Pelodiscus sinensis: one gene and its partner. The protein of the gene in region 2 interacts with the protein of the main gene of each other region in a biochemical or structural test. Links are inferred from orthologs where the notes say so. Each region holds a gene or a part of one and is shown on either strand. Other genes may lie near its edges. The genes, in order: UBE2H and TRIM72.

Region 1 (7,448 bases), on a different chromosome or scaffold from region 2:
GGCTGGTTTACAAATAGGACAGCACAGACAAATGAAGTGGCTCAGCAGTTTGGGCCTACACTCTGAATTCATCCTAGAGATATGAAGGAAGGCCAGACAAACAAAAAGCCGGAGGAAGGTAGAAATAGCCATTCGACACAACTTCCTAACTTTACGGTCCACAAGACACAAACTGACCTATCCCTCTGTGTCAAATACCAAGAGCACTGGGGTAACAATAATAAGAGCTACAGTTTTAAAGCACCTCTAGATTCTTTTGTCAGGGAAAATAGACCAGGAGATGAGAAATTAACTGGGATTGGAAGGAATATCAACCTATTTGCTTCTTTTCGTGTACCACCAAGCAATAAATATACCAAAAAACCTGCTCTTTGTCTCCTAAAATGCTGTAGTCAGTCTAGATGTCAGCTACCAAGCAGGAAAAGAGAAGTGGGGTAGAAAATGCATCAGGTCATAATGGGCCTCATCTCCACTCCAGCACAGTCCTCTTTAAAAAATTACACACAATGAAGATTATTTCCACTAAACAGCTGGAGTTTTCAAACCTCCTCCTGGTGAAATTAACCATCAACTGAAATTTGCATTTGGGAGGGTATGACATGTTGTAATTCTAAACTCCGGAATAAAAATAGCTCAGATAGTACCATGATCGGCAGTCATTTCCTATTTGCTATAAACAACCTTAAAAATAAAGAGCAACTTTGTATAAAAACATACAAAAACATTAACACAGTTTCCTAGGGTAAACTGTTCTCATACCGCAGACATTAGCACTGTTGATTTCACCCCTTCTTTTAAGACACAAAATCCAAATAAGTTTGTTTATCTCTGCCTCTAGAAACTAAATCAGATCTGTTTATAACCCCCAACCTTCCTACCACAACCAAAAAAACCAGATCTTTCACCCCCAAATTCTCCTGGGGGAGTAAATATATCTGAAAGCATTGTAGTCAGTTAAGTCAATTCTCCCCACCACCACCACCACGTAAACAAAACTATTAATAAAACAATTCTATAATCGAATTCCCAATGTTTTTTCAATAGCCACCCACACTCCAGACAGCGAAAGTGAGGGCTACACCATCCTATGAGGGGTGAGAATAAAAATACTGAGAAAAATAAAAATAGATCCATTAGGAAAGAAAAAAGCCTACCCTAAACAGGAGTGTTACATAAACAAAACCTCTAGCGGGAAGGGAAGGGAGAGAGAGACTTTTCAATTGCTCTGGAACCCCTTTTTCCCCCACTCCATAGCACCTTATTTTTGGTTTGTTGCAAACCAGACTCCCCCCCACCCCCCCCAAAAAAAGAAAAGAAAACACAAGTCCCTAAGCTGGCACCAGAAGCTTTGGGAATGGCAGGCTGAAACCATGGAGTAAATAATAATAAACATCACAAAAGGCTTTCTCTGGGCTGTGGCTATTAGACAAGACCTCTCCATTCTCTGAGACCCCCTTCTAACCACTCCAAGCTGCTGAACTACATTCCAGGGAAGAGGGCTGGGGGAAAGAGGGGAGTCAGGAGTGGGGGTGCCATCTGGAAGGGGGGGAGAATATTCCTTAAAAATTCCCTTCGAAGACTGACTACCAGCTGTCATATCTATGGGAGGAGGGGGTTTCTTTCCCTTAACCTGCGATAGGGGTGGGGGGGAGGAGGAGGAAGAGTCACAATAGCAGGGGAAGGAAAAGGAGTTGCCTTAGGTTGAACCAAAGGATTCTGCCCCATGCTCCCACTTTAAAGGTACTAATCTCCCACCAGGATAGGCGGTGGGTGGGGTAGCCTCTTATACCCCAGGCTCTCTATAGTTTAAAGGGGCACCAGTCCTTAGTCTGGGGTGTAAGCTGAGGCTGGGAGATAGATTCGGTATTTGAGAGCACTGAAATCCCCAGGACTGGGGGTAGGGAGGGAAGACAGTCTGCTTTTTCAGGAGGCCTCTATTCAGCAGACTGGGAAGAGTTGATGTTGAGTAGGTGGCTGCAGGGGGCTCCCCCAGAGGGGCTGATCTAGGGGAGGCTCACCCTCTTCCTCCTGGTAGCTGGTTTCATGGGGGTTCACGCTCTCCTTCTCCACAAGATATCAGCAGGACAGGCCCTGACAGCTGTACATCACTGGAGGATTAGGGATGTCACTCTCCTCTGGGCTGAGGGCCTTTTCCCCAGGATATTTTCCTCACAGGGGCTTCTCTCCCCCACCCAGGGGATGAGGGATCTCTCCCCTCCCCACACTGTCAAATGGGGAAAGCTTTTCTCCCCCCCCCCCATTAGAAGGTCTCCCTCTCCCCCTCCCCCACACACAAGAGGATGGAGAACCTCTCTCTTCTTCCCGCCCCAGGATGGGGGGGGTCCTCTCTCTCTCCTCCTTCCCACCCCACACGGGAGGATAGAGGGTCTCTCTCTTGTCTCCCTCTCACCCCATACTTCACACAGGAGGACAGGGGAGGGTCTCTCTTCTCCCACCCCCCCCCCACTGGAAGGAGGGGGGAAGGGTCTCTCCCACCCCCCCCCCACTGGAAGGAGGGGGGAAGGGTCTCTCCCACCCCCCCCCCACTGGAAGGAGGGGGGAAGGGTCTCTCCCCCCCCCCACTGGAAGGAGGGGGGAGGGGTCTCTCCCCCCCCCCCACTGGAAGGAGGGGGGAGGGGTCTCTCCCCCCCCCCCCACTGGAAGGAGGGGGGAGGGGTCTCTCCCCCCCCCCCCACTGGAAGGAGGGGGGAGGGGTCTCTCCCCCCCCCCCCACTGGAAGGAGGGGGGAAGGGTCTCAGACACACACAGGGCAGGAGGGGGGGTCTCCCCCCACAGAAGGTGTGGGGGGGTCTCCCCTCGCCCCCTACACGGGGGGGCGGGTCTCCCCGCGCAGGAAGGATACAGCTTGACCACGTCGGTGTCCATCCGCCTCTTGCCCGGGCTGGGGGAGGACATGGTGCCCCCGGCTGCCCGGCTCCTCCTCTCGGGCTGTCAGAGCCCGGGCTGCTCCGGGCTGGGGGGGGACTCCCCGGGGGGGGGGGCGCCGGGCGCCGAGCCGCGGGCGAGCCCCCTCCTGCTGCCGCCGCTGCGCCCTGCGGGGCCTGGCCGCTCCTGCCTCCCCCCGCTCCGGCTCGCGCTCCCCTCAGCCCCGCGCCCCGCTCCCGTCGCCGCTGCCGGAGAGCCTCTCTCTGGGCCCCTGACGTCACCCACAGTGACCTCACTGCCCGGGCCCGCCCCGATTGGCGCCGCGGCGCGTGACGCCGGCGCGTCGCTCACGCCGCCCCGCCCCGCCCCGCGCTGGCTGACGGGAGTTGTAGGCCGCCGCCGCTCCTTCCCAGCAAGCCCTGGAGTAGGGTCGAGTGCCCCACGCGCTGGCCACTCGCCCCACGTGGCTAACTGGCTAGTTGGCTTGAACAATGAAAACTCAAAAAAAAACAAAAAACATTTTTTAAATAAAAAACCCAATTTTTTTTCATAGAATAATTATAATAATACGAATAATCACAAAGTTCCGAAGGTCTTTCCTCTTTCCGAAGCCACGTTCCATGAGTCCGACCGGTTTTTTCGGAATCACGGGGCTAGTTCGCTATAGCAGTGGCTACTGCTTCAGAACTGGGCGCACACCCTGGGTCTAGCTGGTGGAGGCAGGCTGCCGGGTGGAGGCCTCGCCCCTCATGGTCTCCTTAATAGGGCCAAGGGATCTTCTGCATTTGTGGATGCCAACGCCCCTTGACCTAAAAATGTAGGGAGAGAGCTGGTTTCCCCTGGCATGTTGCCAGCTGTATGTAAATTTGACACCTAAAGAGGAGCAGCTCAGACATTTGTCTCTTACACCAGCTGACAAGCTGAGCCCCTAAAAGACGTTACCTCATCCACCTTCTGTCTGCACAAGGATGGTCTGCTGGCCCAGACTTCATCTAAATGCACTTACGGCTTTCACCCATGCCTATGTTCTGCTTAGCTGATAGTGGTGTGGGTTGATTAGAGAAGGAGCTAGGGCCCCTGAATCCATTCGAAGGGTGGGGTTAAGATTCCCAACATCTATACCCACTCTGCCCTTTGGCAAGTCACTTAGCCACTTTGTGCCCCATCTGTAAAACGAGGCTACAGCAGAGACATTCCCATGTTTGTAAACTTCACTTCTGCCAAACTCTCTTTACTCCCATATTTGTTTTGTCTCTCAACAGGATGCTGCACAGTTTGGGGTTTTTTGTTAAAACCCTCTCTCTACTTTTGTAAACGTTTAATGCATCTTAAGTTTTCTGTAAAAATCAGTTTTTACACACACCTTCTTCACACAGTTTTTGTGAGGCATAATAAATACAGCAACATCTTGTTGCAAGCTGGGTATTACTGGGAAGTCAATACTCATTGTATTCACACCTCACAAGAAATTCAGGAATGCGTCTGTGCACATCTTGACATGGGGGAGAGTCTCGTCACTTGGTTTTCAGTTTAATTTGTTTCAGGACCTTACAAAAATGTTTTCTGAGTTCTTTGCAATGTATCCTTATACTAGCCATATTATGAAAAAGATGGGTTAGAGAAAACTTCTCTAGACCTTTAATTGATATTCTCATGTTTCAAATTCATTTCTGCCCTGCAGGCAATGATTTGCTGTGGATCTTTATCATTTACATTTGCAGTGTGGATTGTGGTGTTTTGTGAGGGTCCTGACATGATTTTTTTTTCAGTGCCACATCATCATAATGAAACAACTGTATGTCTGAGTCAAAGACAGAGTCCCTGCCCAAGCGGAGTTTACAATCAGAAAAACAACCAAAAGACAGATGCTTTGAGTGAAGGGATGACTTGGCTTGCTATTTTTGTGCACGGATATTTGTGGTGCTGGCGTTATGCTGATTTTGGTCAGTGCTGCTGGGCCTTATGGAAGATATGGATTTAGTGGAGGCAGCTGGGAACCTAGGCACTGACCAAAGCAAGATCACTTCATAGACAGGAGCTGACACAGGTAGGGTTGCCAGATGGTTTAACAAAAAAATACCGAACACCCTCCCCCCAAAAAAACAAAAACAAAAAAACACCGGGGAAAAATCCTGTTGAGAAAAGAAAAAGGGCGAAACCAACGTTGTTGAGCAAAAAAAAAAAAAAAAAAAAAAAAACCCACAGCTGTACCTTTAAATGGCCCTGCTGTTCTCTCAGTTCCTCACTCCCCACCATCCCCACCAGATGCGGCAGGGGAAAATTGTCCGTCTGAGGGAAACAGGAGGAAATGCTGGGCATTTCACATGTCCAGTATTTTCTGTTTTTGTACCAGACGCTGGATCCGAATAACGGACAGTCCAGGCTAAAACCAGACACCTGGCAACCGTAGGCACAGGAGAAAGCAGAAGGGGAGAAGAAAAGGAAGGGAGCATCCCTGGCAAAGCAAAGGGGCAAGATGAGATTTAAGTGGCAGCTGGGCTCTGCAAAGCTATGACTGGGGAAACAGAAATGAAGGCAAGGCTGAGCCACTGGAGGGACTTGAAGACAGGGCAGGGTGGTCAACCTGGTCAGCCTTGTATCTGGTTGAACCTGCGTGAACCACACTAGGGCTACGTCTACACTGGCATGATTTTCCGGAAATGCTTTTAACGGAAAAGTTTTCCGTTAAAAGCATTTTTGGAAAAATCGCGTCTAGATTGGCAGGATGCTTTTCCGCAAAAGCACTTTTTGCAGAAAAGCGTCGGTGGCCAATCTAGACGCGGTTTTCCGCAAAAAAGCCCCGATCGCCATTTTCGCCATTGGGGCTTTTTTGCGGAAAACAGTACTATGCTGTCTACACAGGCCCTTTTGCGCAAAAGTCTTTTGGAAAAAGACTTTTGCCCGAATAGTAGACAGCTGGCAAGTTTTTCCGCAAAATCATCTGATTTTGCGGAAAAACTTGCCAGTCTAGACACAGCCAATGTGTGCGGGTTACACCTGCACAGAGAGGGAGGATGGATTCAGCATGGGCAGACGGGTGACCCCCAAGGCTGTTTGGGAATAGGAGCTCCTTCAGGAGGACCCAGCCCTCTTAGCAGCTAGGCAATTTCCAGTATAAATAAGGTGCAGTGTCTCGTGGCAGTGTCCCCTGGCCACATAGGGTTAACATGTCCCTTCCTGCCAAGTGGAGCAAAGCCAGGAGTTGGCCTGTGAATATCAGAGGCTCAGCACAGGGCACCGGGAGCCAAGCAGCTCCAATAGCTGGCTTTCAGCATTTGTTAACGTGCAACAAATGGAGGTTTATCACATTTTCCACCAGCTCAGTTTCTGGTTTCTGCTTTTCCAGCTGTCAATAATTTACAGAGGAGTAATGCAGGGTCCCCAGGCTAGAGACGCCGATCGAGCGGGAGGCTGGAATGAGCGATATCTCTCAGAATCAGGTACAACTGAGCAGTGTATGGGAGCAAACAGCTGTTCGACCTTGTATGACCTTAGAGTGTTGCGATCTGGGAAATGTATTCTTGGGCCTGTCCAACCCTTTATATACAGGCTGTTAGCAGAAAAGGATCAAGGACACAGAGGGGAGTCACATGTTACCGATAAATGAACTTTGCCAATTGACCCTACTGCAAAATTAATCACATTCTAGCTAATATCCCAAACTGGAAAGAAAGCTGTGTAGTTTAAGGTATGAGCGTTGGAACTCTGAGTTTCTACCCTTACCTCGGTAATGGACTTTGGTCTGATTGTTTACCCGTGCCTCAGTTTACTCACCTGGAAAATATAGTAACTAATACTTACCTGCCTTCTGGAGCCGGGAACTGTGCGCTGAAGTTAATGAATGTTTGTAAAGTATGTTGAGACTGCTGGGGAAAAAGTTCCTATGGAAACGTAAAATATTGTGTGAAGACAATCAAATTACGCTGCCAAGTTCATGAGCACACCTCCAAGTTCGGATGGAGTCAGTACTGCGCATTCGGTGGCACTAGATCGCTAATTGAGACTCTCCTTAGCTCAGGTTGTGGGGGTTGGTGCGCTTAAAGCAAGTGGGTCTGAGCTCTTGTTCCAGCCGTCCCTGTGAGCTTTGAGGGCTGGTCTACACTGAACTTACATGTACAGAACCGCCTCTCTCGGAGAGGTGAAAAATCCACACCTGAAAGGACATAGTTAAAAGGACCTAACCTCTGATCAAACTTTCCATTAAACTTGGATTAACTATAGTGACGGGTGACCCCTCCATTGCTGTTGTAAGTGATTACACTGAAGTGCTACAGGAGAGCAGCTGTCGCTTTTTAAGTGTGGACACGGACGGAAGGTCTGGTGTGCAGCTAGGTGACAAGTGTGAAGGTGCACACCGTGACCACAGATTTGTTAAAATATCTTGCGATGTTGCGGCTGTAAAGTGGTCCCCACGAAACACTTAGGACACGTCTAGACTACGGTGCTACTTTGGGATGCCAGAGGGATCCCGAAATAGCTGTTCCACATCTTTTGAACCAGCCCGTTATTTCAAAATTGATTTTGAAATAACAGGCTCTCTAGTCCGATGTCCCTGTAGCCCT
Region 2 (7,197 bases):
TACCCTCCGCCCCCATCTTTCAGCCCCAAACTGACTCCTCTGTCCCCACACCAACACTGTTTGGTGATTGCCCCTCTGTGTTCTCTGGTGCTGTTTACACGGGGGGCTGAGCAGGCCTCAGAAAACAGTCCCCTCTCCAGCTTGCAGGGGAACATGCCAGCTGCTTGACATACCCACTGTGGTAGCCTAGCTCTTAGTGCTTAAGAGGAGTTAGTTCTTGAACAAATGGACTCACAATGGACGGACAGACAGACACACCTACCTTTTTAAAAACAGAGATATAGATTTTGAGTGTTGCTTGATTTTAGCCAAACTGTGTTAGTTTCTATTATCTGAAAAGTGTGACTCACCAACTTTTTAAAAAAAATATGCCTGCCTGGGGAACGAGTCATGTGTGTTTTGCTATTCTCAGGGCTTGTATTTTTCTGTAACAGGGTTTCATTCACCTGGGCTGGGTCTACACTGGCATGAATTTCTGGAAATGCTTAAAATTGAATACTATTCCGTTTTCAGTTTTTCCGGATAAGGAGCGTCTACATTGGCAGGCTGCTTTTCCGGAAAAGCCCTTTTTCCGGAAAAGCATCTGTGGCCAATGTAGACGCGCTTTTCCAGAAAAGACTACTGGGCTGTCTACACTGGCCCTTTTCCAGAACAGTGTTCCGGAATAAGGACTTATGCCCGAGCGGTAGCAGAATAGTTTTTCTGGAATAGCGGCTGATTTTGTACAGTAGAGCATCGTTGCTTTTCGGGAAATTCAAGGGCCAGTGTAGACAGCTCGCAGCTTATTCCGGAAAAGCGGCTGATTTTCCGGAATAAGTGGCCCAGTGTAGACACAGCCCTGTTGTTTTAAATCTCTAAACTGAGCGCTCAGTTACATCAACTAGCTGACTGGCTGCCAGTGATTTCGTAAGAGGAAGAGCCTGCCTGGATTTCAACGGAAGGCTCTTACAAGCAAGAAGATGTTTGCTTTTAGATGTAACCAAAGACCCCGAAATGCAGGTGAACCCCACCAATGCCTTTGGGAACACTAGAGTTACTTCTCACTGTGTTTCTGCAGGTGCTGGCCTGGTTAGATTGAATTTGTTTTCTTTCTGGGTGTGTAAAACTGGAGATAATGAAAGCAGATTATAAAGCAGCCACCTTGTGCTGCAAAAACAAAGGTAGTCGTTATGTTTCTTTATCAGAAGATTGGACAGAATTGCTTGTGTGTCCTTACAGGCTGGCTTGGTGACAGGTGTCTTGAAAGAAATCAACCAAAATAACCAGAACTGGTGTGATTATGTTGTGTTATTCTGACACATCAAATATGCAGAATTTTGCAACATGTGAAAGTAGTGCGCACAGAATGCTTAACTTCTCCTGGCAGAACTGCCCCAGGAGTATCATCTGCACCAGTCAACACCAGGCACCCTGCGTAACGCAGGCTGCCGGTTTAAGGTCTCTTAGAACCGCTGCATGCGGTGTGGGACAGTTAAATGGTTTAAATACAGCAGGTTAATTAAATTGGTGCAAGTTTGTGTGTAAATAAAGTCTAAGGGAGCCTGCCCAGCAGAGCCCTTCTCCTCTCCCTGGGCTCCACAGCGCCTTCTCTCTCCTCCTCTGCTTTGCACTCTGATTCATCCAGATCGGAGGGAGGCTGGCTTGGTGGCAAGGAAAAAGTCTGACTGAGACCAGAAAGCGGGAGGGAGCGTGTCCAGGGACACTCGGGGGGGGGGGGGAGGGTTGTGGCTGCACCCCCTGACTTGTGGCTTCCGTTGTGTCCAAGGGGTGAAGTTTAGCTCAGGGGCTCTCAACCCCCCCCCGTGCCAGCGCATTGGCCCCCTGCTCCGAGTTCCTCTCTGGATCCCTCCTTACCAGATGCTGAGAAGAGTGTCGGTGACTGGAACTGCGAGAACGGCTTCTCTGCTCCAAAGTCCTTCCCGGGGAGGCCGCCTACGTAAGAGCTCCCCTGCAACTGGAGTTGAGGCTTTTTGGGCTTGCCCTGGGGCAGCCCCGAACCCTGGGGTCTGAGCGCCATGCTGCCGCCCCAGGCAGAGGCCTCAGCGCAGCAGAGACCGAGTCAGACCCTGGCCCGGGAGCAGGAAGTCGCTGCTGTGCCGAGTAGGAGGAGGCAGAGCTCGAACCTCCCTCCCCCCCGGACTCCGAGCCCTTGGTGAGGCAGGCTCAGCCCATGGCTCCCCAGGAGAGTTCGCTCAGCGAGCGTCCCAGGGCCAGGGTTTAAAGCGGCTGTCATGTGGGAACTGCGGTAATCTAGTCACCTTATACACTGGCAGCAGAAGAGAGGGCCTGGGAGGAACCTGAAAAGCCTTCCTTCACAGACAGTCTAGGGCCCAGACCCCAAATCAGTAGGAGCTGGACACTTACATGCCTTTGGTAAACCCTGATTGGGGTGTTAAATCTGCAGGTGTAGGAACTCCTTGCGAGAGGATGTGGTGAAGCCTAGAACTTTAACAGGGTTCAAAAAAAAGCTAGATAGATTCATGGGGGTTAGGTCCGTCAATGGCTATTAGCCAGGATGGGTAGGAATGGTGTCCCCAGCCCCTGTTTCTCTGGAGGTGGGAGACAGGGCAGGGATTCCCTGTTGTGTTCTCTCCCTCTGGGGCATCTGGTATTGGCCACTGTCCCCAAACAGGACACTGGACTGGATGGACCTTTGGTCTGACCCAGTGTGGCCATTCTTAATGCTGTACAATGTTGCAGCCAGGCCTCACCCTAGAGGTGGCTGCATTTTGAGACTGGGTGAGCAATCTCTCACTATCCAGACTGGAAAGCACGGTGGTGACATTTATTAGGAGAATATTTATATTAGCAAACAGATTAACAAACCCTGGTTCGTGCTGTTGGAGGATCAGATTGTCAGCCACTCCCGATGGGGAGTGATGGTCCGATGTGGAATCTGGGAGGAGAATCCAGAGACGATGCGGAAGGTGTATGAACTGGTCCTGAGCGGGACCAGGGCCGGCCGGCTGCAAGACAGTCACCAACACCAGGTGGAAGAGTTTTAGAGGAGCCTCTTAGAACGGCTGCACCCAGGGAGCTCCGGACTCCAGTCCTGGTCCTTCACCCCTCAGCAGGCTGTGCTAGGGCTCACACAGCCCCACCAGTCCCTCACCAAGGCCCCGCCCCAAGGCCTCACTTAGTCACGGAGACCCCTCCAAAGCTCCTGCTTCCATTAGCACTGACCTCTGGGGAAAGAGGCGCAGCAGGGGGTGGGGCCCGAAAAGCGAGGAGGAGCAGGGGGTGGGGTCTGGGGGAAGAGGCGGAGCAGGAGGTGGGGCCTGGGAGGAGAGGCGGAGCAGGAGGTGGGGCCTGGGGGAAGAGGCGGAGCAGGAGGTGGGGCCTGGGAGGAGAGGCGGAGCAGGGGGTGGGGCCTGGGGGAAGAGGCGGAGCAGGATGTGGGGCCTGGGAGGAGAGGCGGAGCAGGAGGTGGGGCCTGGGGGAAGAGGCGGAGCAGGGGGTGGGGCCTGGGAGGAGAGGCGGAGCAGGGGGTGGGGCCTGGGGGAAGAGGCGGAGCAGGAGGTGGGGCCTGGGGGAAGAGGCGGAGCAGGAGGTGGGGCCTGGGGGAAGAGGTGGAGCAAGGGGTGAAAGCCTGGGGAAGAGGCAGGGCCCATGGGAAGAGGTGGGACGGGGGTGGTTCTAGAAGTTCGGAAGTGTCCAGATTTCTGAAGTTTGAAAGTTGAGCAACCCTGCAGCCAAAGATGGACGAGTCCAGGTGCCCCCAGCGCTCCACTGAAGTGCACCAAAGCAGCTGCCCCGACTCACCCTGGCTGCGAAATCCAGCTTGACCCTCCTCCCCCAATCACTCCAGGCTGCCAGAGCCGGAGGCAGGAGAGCCCCCGGCGTGCGGAACAGCAGGGCGGGTGCTCTGCGGTAGGGGGCTCCCGCAGCCCCTGGTTCCCAGGAGGAAGGGTGGCACTCCCAGACCCCGGTGTGCAGGGGAGAGAGTGGGACCCCGGGCTCCTGGAGGGGAATGCAGGGTGCTCCCCAAGCAGAGTGCGAGCCCCCTCTCTCTACGCCAACAGCTGCCTGAGCCATTTGCTGTCACCCTGCCCTCCCCCTCCTGCTCTGCAGACAAAAAATTGGCCGGTGTCCTGTCCTTCCCAGAACAGCCGCGCATTATTGATCTATATATAGAGGCGGGGAGGGGCTGTGGGGCAGTCGCGCTGCGGCTGAGCCCATCCTAGCACAGTCAGCTGCTCCCTGGTGCCCGTCCGATCGCTGCGCCTCCTCGCCCTCCAGCCGGACACCGCTCCCCCGCCGTCTCCTCTGAGCTCAGTAAGACGCTGCTTGCTTTCTCTCCCCCGGAGCTATGGGGGTCTCACTTTGCTCCCAGGGCTCTATGCAGCCTGTAGTGACCGGGGTGCCAGGCTTAGAGGGCAGGGGGGAAACTCAAAGGGAGGCGTCATCTTTCTAACGAGTGCAGGACCGGGAAAGGTCAGAGGGCCTGGCGGGGAGACGGGCTCGGATGCTTCCCTTTGGGGTAACCGGGAGCGAGCTGGACTGAATTCGCTCTCTCTGGGCAGGGACCAGAAACGCTCCGCAAGCCTCCTTCTGTGTCTGCCTGGCTGCGTCTCTGTGGCCGGCCCCTGCGCTATCCCACGCCTGCCCCCAGAGCTCCTGCCTCTCTTCTCCTCTCGTGCCTGTTGTTTTAACCCCTGGGCCCGGAGCTGGAGCTGAGGGACAGCTTGTCTGCGGGGAGAGCCTGTGGCAGGGAAAGCGGGGGTGGGCTGGAGAAGGGGGTGAGCTGGGGGGGCTGGTTTGGGTTAAAAAGTCGCTCTGGGCAGGGGCTAAAATGGTTCTTTGGCGTCTCTCTCTGTTTGTGGCTCTTCTGCCTCCCAGTCCACTCCCTTCCCCCTCCCAACCTTCAGCCGACATTCCCGCCCCATGGAGAAGCTGTCCCTGCCCCCTTTGGTGTCGGGGGGGGGGATGGCCTCGCCCATCGCTACCCATTAGGGATCCCTCCCTCCTGCTTCCGCCTCCTCCCAGCCCCCCTCTACCCCTTATTCCCAACAGCGCTGTGGACAGGTGGGGGAGGCCACGGTGAGACCCAGCTGCTCACGCCCCTCGGGAAGCGGCTTTTCCTGATTCTCAGATGTGGCCTGGCACTGGCATTCAGCCCCGTCGGGAGGGGGGGGGGGGGGCTCCGTCTTGCAGGCCGCTCCCCTCCGGAGCAACGGCACAAGCTCCACAGAGCCCCCTGGCCAGAAGGGCCCTTAGCCCGACCCCCTGGATAGCACAGGCTGGAGATGCCCCAAATATAACCCCCCCACACACACCCACCCCGTGCCTCATCCTGAGCCTCTGCTAATGCCCCCCCCCAGCTCCCTACGCAGTGCACCACAAGGCAGAGGGACCCCTGCCAGGCCACCTTGGCAGCTCCAATGCAGCGCAGTGCGGCCGCACACGCAGCAGGGCACGGGGCCCCGTGCGACGCAGCTCGGCACGCCCCGAATTCACCACACGTGCAAGGCGAGGCAGCTGAGACAGTGGCCGGGAATCAAGTCCACGCTGCATGTCTGGCAGGCAACATAATTCCCTGCGACATCTCAGACACCGAGGGCACCCCCAGGTCCCAGGCAACGCAGCCCCACAGAACCTACCGGGTCAGCAAAGGCCCATGGAGCTTAGTGTCCTGTCTGCCGACAGCAGCCAATGCCTGGTGCCCCAGAGGGAGGGAACAGAACCGGGAATCCTCGTGTATCCCCTCCCCTGTCGGCCATTCCCAAATTAATATAGTAAAATATATAAAAAATAAAACACATACAAATGTGAATCCCCAGCTCTCTCCTTCATTCGATCTCAGGGCACTCGACTAAGGGCGATTAGGATAATTTTATGGCTAGGGAAACTGAGGCACAGGGAAGTGACTTGCCGAGCGTCTTCACGCAGCACCGCTGGAAATAGCAGCGGGTCTCCTGCCTCCCAGTCCAGCCCTTTCGCCCCAGGCAGTACGCAGCCCCCACAGCAAAAGTGCCCTGCAGCAAAATGGCAGGGTAGCACCACAACTATAACACTGCCAAGCATTGTGCAGTGTGGCCTAGTGGCTAGCATGCTGGCCTGGGACACAGCCAGGCCCAGGGCACAGGTGGACAATTTCGGTCCCAGGCCTGCGGGAGGATGGGGACAAATGACGTCCCTTGCCTCACTTTTCCCACCTGTAAAATGGGTCTAAGGCTGCCATTCTCTTTGATAAAGCTCACTGAGCTAGACTGTCAAAAAGTGCTCGATAAGAGTTGGGGGATTACGACTGTGGTGACCAACACAGAACCCTGGTTCTCAAATATTAGCAACCGGGGCACCTCCAATTGGATTTAAATTCTTTGAGGACCCCCAAAATGGCTTCTCATTTTAAGCCCCACTCAGCCCCCACCTTCCCCCAATTGTCCACTCCTTCCATGTCCCTGCCCTGCCTCTTCCCCACCTCCTGCTGCCCACTCCCCCGAGCACCCCCATCCCCTCTCCCCTGCACACCGCAGAGGCAGGGGCGGGATTGAGCAGCAGGGCCGGCAGCCCCAGACAGACTGGCAGGCCCCACGCTGAGGACCAGGGCTCTGGCACCCAAGATGCAGCTAAAGGCTCCGTGATGTTGCTGGGCTGATCCTTTCCAGCCCCTGTTCTGAGGCAGGAGCATGTAAAACGTCAACACCCCCTCCACCCCGGCAGCCGTTCGTCTAACCTGTGCTTACAAGCAAGGGTGGGAACAGCCAGTGTCTCCCTGCGGAGTCAGAGCCTTTAGCTTCCCACTGCGCCACTGGAGCTACCGGCGGCCAGCAGTGACAGTAAGTTCACATTTCATACAGGCGCTGTCCTATTGCAACCCGGGTCCCCGCCCGCCCTTTCAACAGCGCCTTGCTTTTACCCCAGCTCAGCCAGCCCGTGCCGGAGCTGCGTGCCATGGCGCCCCCACTTTCACCTCCACCGACGGCAGAATCAGACCTGCCCCCCCCTAGCGCTGCCACAAGGGGGCTAAGCCCCACCTGGCCATTGCAGCTGGAGCGTTCCCTGCAGGAGCGGCAGGGCGGGGCGGGCTGAGCCCAAAATAATCCCTTAACCCCTCCTTGCCCGGGGTGGGGTTTGGACACCCCGTCCCACTCCCAGGGCAGCATGTGGGGGGAGCACGAAGGGTCAGGGTTGCCGGGGGTCTGGTGTTGAACCGGACAGTCCCGTAGCTGAGCTTCTGTTCGGGAAACACACTGA

Evidence for each region.
Region 1: the proteins of TRIM72 (region 2) and UBE2H form a complex in vitro, tested with the Homo sapiens proteins (2 studies listed by BioGRID). The link is inferred for Pelodiscus sinensis from reciprocal best matches to the Homo sapiens genes TRIM72 and UBE2H.

The regions. Positions count from the first base shown.
Region 1 is NC_134711.1:4,002,883-4,010,330, reverse strand, and holds the start of UBE2H (ubiquitin-conjugating enzyme E2 H), read right to left. Parts: upstream 3,155-7,448; 5' UTR 2,917-3,154; coding exon 2,864-2,916; intron 1-2,863. UniProt on the Homo sapiens protein: Accepts ubiquitin from the E1 complex and catalyzes its covalent attachment to other proteins. E2 ubiquitin conjugating enzyme that transfers ubiquitin to MAEA, a core component of the CTLH E3 ubiquitin-protein ligase complex.
Region 2 is NC_134714.1:131,223,250-131,230,446, reverse strand, and holds the start of TRIM72 (tripartite motif-containing protein 72), read left to right. Parts: upstream 1-4,137; 5' UTR 4,138-4,275; intron 4,276-7,197. Other genes in the region: uncharacterized protein LOC102458195, read right to left, coding at 1,855-2,017. UniProt on the Homo sapiens protein: Muscle-specific E3 ubiquitin-protein ligase that plays a central role in cell membrane repair by nucleating the assembly of the repair machinery at injury sites.